Nothobranchius furzeri: one gene and its partner. The protein of the gene in region 1 purifies or fractionates together with the protein of each later gene. This does not show direct contact. Links are inferred from orthologs where the notes say so. Each region holds a gene or a part of one and is shown in the gene's direction. Other genes may lie near its edges.

Region 1 (3,753 bases):
TTATGTTCATTTTTTTTTCCTTTTAGTTTCTCTCTACCTGCTGTTGAACCTCGCTGAGGACACCAGGACAGAGCTGAAGATGAGGAACAAAAACATTGTTGGACTGCTGGTCAAAGTTCTTGACCGTGATGATGAGGAGCTGCTGGTTCTGGTGGTTTCCTTCCTCAAAAAGCTGTCGATCTTCCTGGAGAATAAGAACGACATGGTGAGCAGGAGGGCTTAGTTGTTCTACACTAACTACTTTTGCCTGTTTTAACAAGAAGTCAGCAAGCTTTGTCATTAGTCCAGCTCTGATGTGACCGTGTGTGTGGCACGCAGGCTGAGCTGGACACCGTGGAGCGACTGGCTCGTCTGATTCCCTGTGAACACGATGATTTGTTGAATCTGACTCTACGTCTGCTGCTCAACCTCTCGTTTGACTCCGGACTTCGAGCCAAGATGGTGGAAGTCGGGCTGGTGCCCAAACTGACAGCGTTGTTGGGTAACGTTAAACACAGATTCTTCACAGCTTCCTGAGTAAATGACGGAAATGAGACAGAAGTCAAACCCACTGTCTGACAGGAACTACGTTGTAGACCTTATAAGTATTCACACCCCATCCCGTTCACTCAGATCTTCTTCTTCCATCCATCTTGCGGTTCCTTCTGCCCGTCTCGCTACCATGAGTTCCAGAGACGGGGAGCAGAGCTTTCAGCCGCTCTGCTCCCCGTCTCTGGAACTCACTTCCCCCAGACATCAGGAACATCGACAGTTTTACCCTTTTCCAATCAAAACTCAAAACACACATGTTTAAATCTGCCTACAACCTTGAACTGTTTCTCTCTTTGTTTTTTCTTGTTTGGGTTTTATTATTGTTTTATTGTATTTTATCATGTGTTTTCTGTAAAGTGACCTTGGGTGTCCTGAAAGGCGCTTTTAAATAAAATGTATTATTATTATTATTATTATTATCATTATTATTATTGTAGTAAGTGTATGAATATTCGAACACGTTTGTTACGATGCAGGTGATGAGAATAACCGACAGGTAGCCATGCGCCTCCTGTACCACATCAGCATGGACGACCGCTTCAGAGGCATGTTCGTTTACACCGACTGCATCCCTCAGGTACGCCACGATCCACTTCCATTCATAGTGACTGAGCGTTCCAGAGGATGAGCCAAATCTGTGTTTGTGTCTGGAACCAGCTCATGCAAATGCTCTACGACCACGGCGAGGAGGAAATTGATGTGGAACTCATCTCCATCTGCATCAACCTGTCTGCTAACAAGAAGAACGCACAGCTCATGTGTGAAGGTATTTGGTTTTTTGATGTTTCAGGGCTAAATCTGTATTTGAACTGAACAGCTTTTGCTTGGTGCCTTTCCGGTTTTAGGAAATGGACTGAAGATGCTCATGAAGCGAGCTCTGAAGACTAAAGACTGCCTTCTGATGAAGATGATCAGAAACATCTCACAGCATGATGGTCCAACCAAGCCGCTGTTTATAGTACGTTGTGAGACACACAGTAATTTGTCATTTTGACAAACTAAAGCATCACTCGTGCTTCACAGAAGGATTGTTTTGTCTGATGATCTGAGTAATCTTCACTAGGACTATGTGGGAGATCTGGCTGCAGAGATCCGTGCTGTAGAAGGGGAGGTGTGGATCCTGGAGTGTCTGGGAACGTTGGCCAACCTCACCATTCCTGACCTGGACTGGGAGCTGCTGCTGAAAGAATATAACCTGGTGCCTTTCCTCAAAGACAATCTCAAACCAGGTATCAGTTAAATCATTCAGAAGACAGAATTAGAAGAAATTACCCGTTGTCTCAGTTTGCCAGAAAGCCTCTCTGTTCATATTTCAGACTCGGCAGAGGATGACCTCATACTGGAGGTGGTCATAATGATTGGAACAGTTTCCATGGATGACGCCTGCGCTGTCATGTTGGCTAAATCTGGCATCATTCCTGCCCTTATTGAACTACTGAATGGTAAAAATAAAAAAGAAAACCAGATTAGGACATTTTCCCTGGATTATTATCAACTCTCACTCCACATGTCCTGTCCTTTATGCAGCGCGCCAAGAAGATGACGAGTTTGTGTGTCAGATCGTCTACGTCTTTTATCAGATGGTGTTTCACCAAGCCACACGGGACGTCATCATCAAAGACACGCGTATCCTTCCCAGGGGCGCTCTCTGCAGCAGTCGCCTCTCACTGGGTTTTAATGCGAGCTAAAGTTTTAGGTTGCTAGTTTTCTTTAAGTGTTTCCTCAGAGGCTCCCGCTTACCTGATAGACCTGATGCACGACAAGAACACCGAGATCAGAAAAGTGTGCGACAACACGCTCGACATAATCGCTGTAAGTGAACCTGCACATCGTATCCTCACCCTGTTCCACCTTTACTCGCAGATGTTTTATATATATATATGTATATATACAGGAGTACGACGAGGAGTGGGGGAGGAAAATCCAGTCGGAGAAATTTCGTTTCCACAACAACCAGTGGTTGGACATGGTCGAGAGTCGCCAAGTGGACGAGTCTGAGCCGTATCTGTACGATAACGACGAGAGGACTGATCTGTTCTACAGCGCAGGTAGAAACCAGATGAGCGCTGCAGCAGATTCTTCTATTTGTGCAAATTTCACACTAAAAGCATTTTTTTAGACCTTGTCTATTTCTGCCACTCAGACCAGATGTTAGCCTTGTGGCCTCCTGTGGCTCCAACATTCATGTCCACCTTTTGCATCCAGTGATGTAATCAGGTCAAACTTTAAGTTTGTGGTTTCTTCATGTTTCTGGGTCACCTGCCCACACAATCAGGCTTCTTATCTGATCTCACAAGGTATACAGAATAACCGGTTATGAGAATGTCACATAATTAGACAAACGCTACTAAATTCTCACAGAAAACGTCTCGCTACTTTTAAAACAATTGCCAAGCTTTTGGTGTCTGTGCTGATTTAGCAGCTGCTATCACGCTGCAGTGGTTGTACAGCTCATTCAAATTTCTAAATGCTTTTCTAGATGGAATAACCCCAGGAGATGGTTCAGTCAGCCCAGATTTCTTCGGTGATCTGCAGTCTCAGAATGGAGACTCACATCTCACAGGGTGAGTCGACCTCAGACAGAGCCAGATCAGAAAATGAACAAGATCACTAACCTTCTAGCTGAAGTGGAAGTTTTCTTATGTGTAGTAATATTAATATCAATGTCTTTGTGGATCAGAGATGTGGGCGACGTCTTCGACCAGACCAGCTCATCACCTGGACGACCAGTTACTGCTTACGGCTTCAGACCTGATGAGCAGCTGTTCTCTCAGTACTCATAAGAGCACACACACACTTTTGGTCCTGCTGATGTACCGCATCCCGTCTTTCCAGCTTCCTGCATGTCCAGTTCCATCACAGCTCCAGTTCTCCTTGCCTTTACTCGGACTGTGAGCAGACACCCTAAAATACATGTTTTGGATTGCAGTAAAAGGAAAGCTGCAGGCTACATCCACTTTCATATTCACTCAGCTTTTTCATTCATTCATTCCTCATTATCTGCAACAGATGAGTATTTGAGTCTGACTTTACCTGACTGTTGTGGCCAGTAATATTCTGAATATGAACAGAAAGTTTTGATTGTTTTTGTCGTCCTATTTTGCACATTTGTTCTCTTTTAATATTTATTGATACTTCAGATCATTCAGAACGAGAAAATAAAAAGAAACACTAAATTAGTGGTCTTAAGGGGAACTCCTATAATTATAAGAAAACTAAAAC
Region 2 (3,677 bases), on another chromosome or scaffold:
CGACATTTCTGAGATTAGTAGCAGGCTATTTTATTATGTATGGCAGTCCTCACTCAGACTAGCCGTTAGCTTATCAGTCTGGTCGTGTAATCTCTGTTTAATCCTCAAAGAGTGTGTGTATGCGCATTTACAGTAAAAAGGTAACCAAATTTATAACCCGCCCAGTATATTTATTTTACGTCTTCTTTGGAATTGATTTGATTGTTTGTTTGTATCTCATTCATTTGAATGTTTAAGGACCAGACGGACCAGACGTTATTTTTGCAGGAGTTTAACGTAATGACTCAAAAAGTACCGCATATATATGTAGGCGACTATCTCAATATTATGAGATAGCTAAGTCATAATTTTGAGATTATATATATATATATATATATATATATATATATATATATATATATATATATATATATATATATGAGAGAGAGAGAGAGGGAGAGAGAGAGAGAGAGAGAGAGAGAGAGAGAGAGAGAGAGAGAGTTATCTGAGTGGCGGGAATGGGCTTCCATAAAAACGCGCACGTTTGGACATAAAATTATTACAACCAGATTACTCTTTTCATTTCCTCATCAACATAAAAACGTGTTTATTTTTAAACTTCTTTTATTTGTTTTACGCTCGCGTGGTAATTGTTTGGGGCTAATTTGTTGAAGCGGCGCACTCATTCGTCGCGCAGGTCACGTGTCTGGTCTCCATTGTCTGCAGAGCAGGGTGTGTTCCGCCGGGACTCAGAGCGGGCTGGGTCGGGCCGGGCTGGCTGCTTTTCCCCTCACATCAGCATCTTTAATTATCCTGTGACATCGCTCCATGATGCCCCGGAAAGGAGGAGACGCTTCGGCCTGAGCGCTTCTCCATGATGCTGATGCTGATGACGGTGAGGCGTGTCTGACTTCTTGTTTTGCCGCTGCTGATGAAACTGAGGCACCTGGAGAAGGAAGATAGAAATAAATCTGCGAGGATGTTTGTTGATTCTTGGTAAATAAAATGTCTTCAGCTAGAGCCTGCGAGGCGGTGCAGGTGGTGGTGCGCTGCCGGCCGTTCTCCAGGAGAGAGGAGGTGGCAGAGTGTGAGAACATTCTGGAGATACATGACAAACTGGGACAGATCACCATCCGAAACCCGAAGGCACCGCCTGATGAGCCAATGAAGGTCTTCACCTTTAACTCGGTGTACGGTTGGAACTCAAAGCAAAGTGACATCTATGATGATGCTGTGAGACCTCTTGTAGAGTCTGTGCTCCAAGGCTTCAACGGCACCATCTTTGCTTACGGACAAACCGGGACCGGTAAGACCTACACCATGCAGGGGGTGTCCAACGACCCGGAGAGGAGTGGAGTCATACCAAACTCATTTCAGCACATTTTCACTCAAATCTCCAGAAGTCAGAATCAGAAGTATCTGGTCAGGTCTTCGTACCTTGAGATCTACCAGGAGGAGATCAGGGATCTCCTGTGCAAAGACAACAACAAAAAGCTGGAGCTCAAAGAGAACCCTGAGTATGGCGTTTACGTGAAAGACTTGTCTTCGGTGCTGACGAAGAATGTCACAGAGATCGAGCACGTCATGAACATTGGGAACCAGTCCAGAACGGTGGGCTTCACCAACATGAACGAGCGCAGCTCAAGGTCTCACGCCATTTTTGTTGTAACCGTGGAGTGCAGCGAACTAGGCCCGGATGGTGAGGACCACATACGTGTTGGCAAACTGAACATGGTTGATCTGGCTGGAAGCGAACGCCAAAGCAAGACAGGCGCTAAAGGGAAGCGTCTGAAGGAAGCTGCCAAAATCAACCTGTCCCTCTCAGCGCTGGGGAACGTCATCTCAGCCCTGGTGGATGGGAAGAGCGCCCACATCCCTTACAGAGACTCCAAACTCACCCGCTTGCTCCAGGACTCTCTGGGCGGCAATGCAAAGACGGTCATGGTTGCAACAGTTGGACCCGCCCATAAGAACTTTGATGAATCCCTGGCAACGCTCAGGTACGCCAGCAGAGCCAAGAAAATAAAGAACAAACCACGGATCAACGAGGACCCTAAAGATGCCCTGCTAAGGGAGTTTCAAGCAGAGATTGCACGTTTGAAAGCTCAGCTGGAGGAGCAAGGGATGCTGGCAGAAGAGAGGAGGAGGAGGAGGAGGAACAGCAAAAGACTGAGTAATAGTATGGCTGGGACGGAGGAGGAAATCTTTACAGATAAGACTGTAGGGGAAGAAGATGAGAAGCACAGGCTGATTGAGGGCAACCCAAAGGCCTGCCAAGGGAGCAGCGAGAAACTAAAACATCTAAACGTTAACAGAAGATGTTTGGAGGAATTTCAATGGGACCAAGAAGCCGTGGAGAAGATCATAGAGAAGTATAAGGTACGGACCTGCAGTTAATACCGTTTTTATTCAGCATCTGGTGTGATAAATGACTGGGTAGTTGAACAAAGGACATTTACATAAATAATTTATCAGATCTCTTTGTTCACAGGCTATGGAGAGCAAACTGCTGGTGGGAGGAAAGACCATCATCGATCACACCAACGAACAGCAAAAGATGCTCGAGCTGAAGAGACAAGAAATAGCAGAACAAGTAATAAAATCAGCAATAATAAAGTGTTGGTGATGCTCCATGGTGAAACATTTGAATGTGCACAAGATCGTTGTGACTGCGGGATGTTGGCTTTGATTTGCAGATCAGACGAGAGAGGGAGATCCAGCAGCAGATGATGCTGCAGGACGAGGAGACTTTAGAAAGGAAGGAGACGTTCTCCTCCCTGCAGCAAGAGGTGGAGCACAAGACGAAGAAACTGAAGAGGGTGTGTCTACCAAGTCCGAGTGTCTTTGTTTACATTCAGATGTACATATATACTGTTCAGCACCTTGGACTTCTGCTAAGGTTGTGGAAGGTGCTGTACAAATAAAATTAGATTGTATTTATTGATTGATTAATCTGTTCTCTGTAGCTGTTTGCTAAACTGCAGGTGTTGAGAGGAGAGATGAATGACATCATCGATGAACACATCCTAACCAGACAAGAGCTGGAGGAGACACAGGATGAGCTCACCAAAGAGCTCAAGTACAAGTAGGTCCACACAAATAGGAGACTTTATTAATAACTCAAGTAAAAGTTAATAAACAATAAATGTGAGCTTTCATCACAGCCAGGAAGCTGCTGCAGCATAGTGAACAACAAAATCTAAATCAAACAAAATCGTTAAAGCCACACTGTGCAACTTTTTCATATTTTTAATAATTTTCTTGAGCCAGAATGGGCTAAAATGACCCTTTACATGGTGAGAGAGAGACACTCAGAACCCCACCACCCTCTGTGGTCACTGGTCAGAATACCACATTTGCAACTTCAGAGTGGTTGTCTGGTCCTTGTTGGACTTAGTAAAGTGGAGTGGACATGCCTGGCATTGGAGTCTGCTTCCAGCATGTTTTCTGCATGTTTTAGATGGTGAACACAGCTGATTTGTTTGATTTAGTGATGAACCGCTCTTGTAGAAACTAATGAAGGCTGAGGAGACATTTCAGATGTTAGATTAAGGTGTTAAAGAGACAATTTGTAGTTTTTTACCATTAATCTCTGGAAATTTTCAACTAAATGTTGAAAATGAAGAAGAAGAAGAAGAAGAAGAAGAGGAAGAAGAATATCGTTTATATAGCTCCTCAAGATAAAAATCACGAGGTGT

The links. Proteins that work in one complex are often made in the same cells at the same time.
Region 2: the proteins of kinesin-associated protein 3 (region 1) and kif3cb purify together in Homo sapiens (co-immunoprecipitation; 3 studies listed by BioGRID and IntAct, counting the BioPlex papers as one, with this or other methods). This does not show direct contact. The link is inferred for Nothobranchius furzeri from reciprocal best matches to the Homo sapiens genes KIFAP3 and KIF3C.

The regions. Positions count from the first base shown.
Region 1 is NC_091751.1:58,732,094-58,735,846, forward strand, and holds the end of kinesin-associated protein 3, read left to right. Parts: intron 1-26; coding exon 27-205; intron 206-318; coding exon 319-481; intron 482-1,007; coding exon 1,008-1,108; intron 1,109-1,188; coding exon 1,189-1,297; intron 1,298-1,376; coding exon 1,377-1,489; intron 1,490-1,594; coding exon 1,595-1,760; intron 1,761-1,847; coding exon 1,848-1,973; intron 1,974-2,058; coding exon 2,059-2,157; intron 2,158-2,257; coding exon 2,258-2,343; intron 2,344-2,425; coding exon 2,426-2,579; intron 2,580-3,010; coding exon 3,011-3,095; intron 3,096-3,211; coding exon 3,212-3,314; 3' UTR 3,315-3,534; downstream 3,535-3,753. UniProt on the Homo sapiens protein: Involved in tethering the chromosomes to the spindle pole and in chromosome movement. Binds to the tail domain of the KIF3A/KIF3B heterodimer to form a heterotrimeric KIF3 complex and may regulate the membrane binding of this complex.
Region 2 is NC_091758.1:20,995,560-20,999,236, reverse strand, and holds the start of kif3cb (kinesin family member 3Cb), read left to right. Parts: upstream 1-797; 5' UTR 798-984; coding exon 985-2,358; intron 2,359-2,470; coding exon 2,471-2,572; intron 2,573-2,675; coding exon 2,676-2,798; intron 2,799-2,945; coding exon 2,946-3,064; intron 3,065-3,677.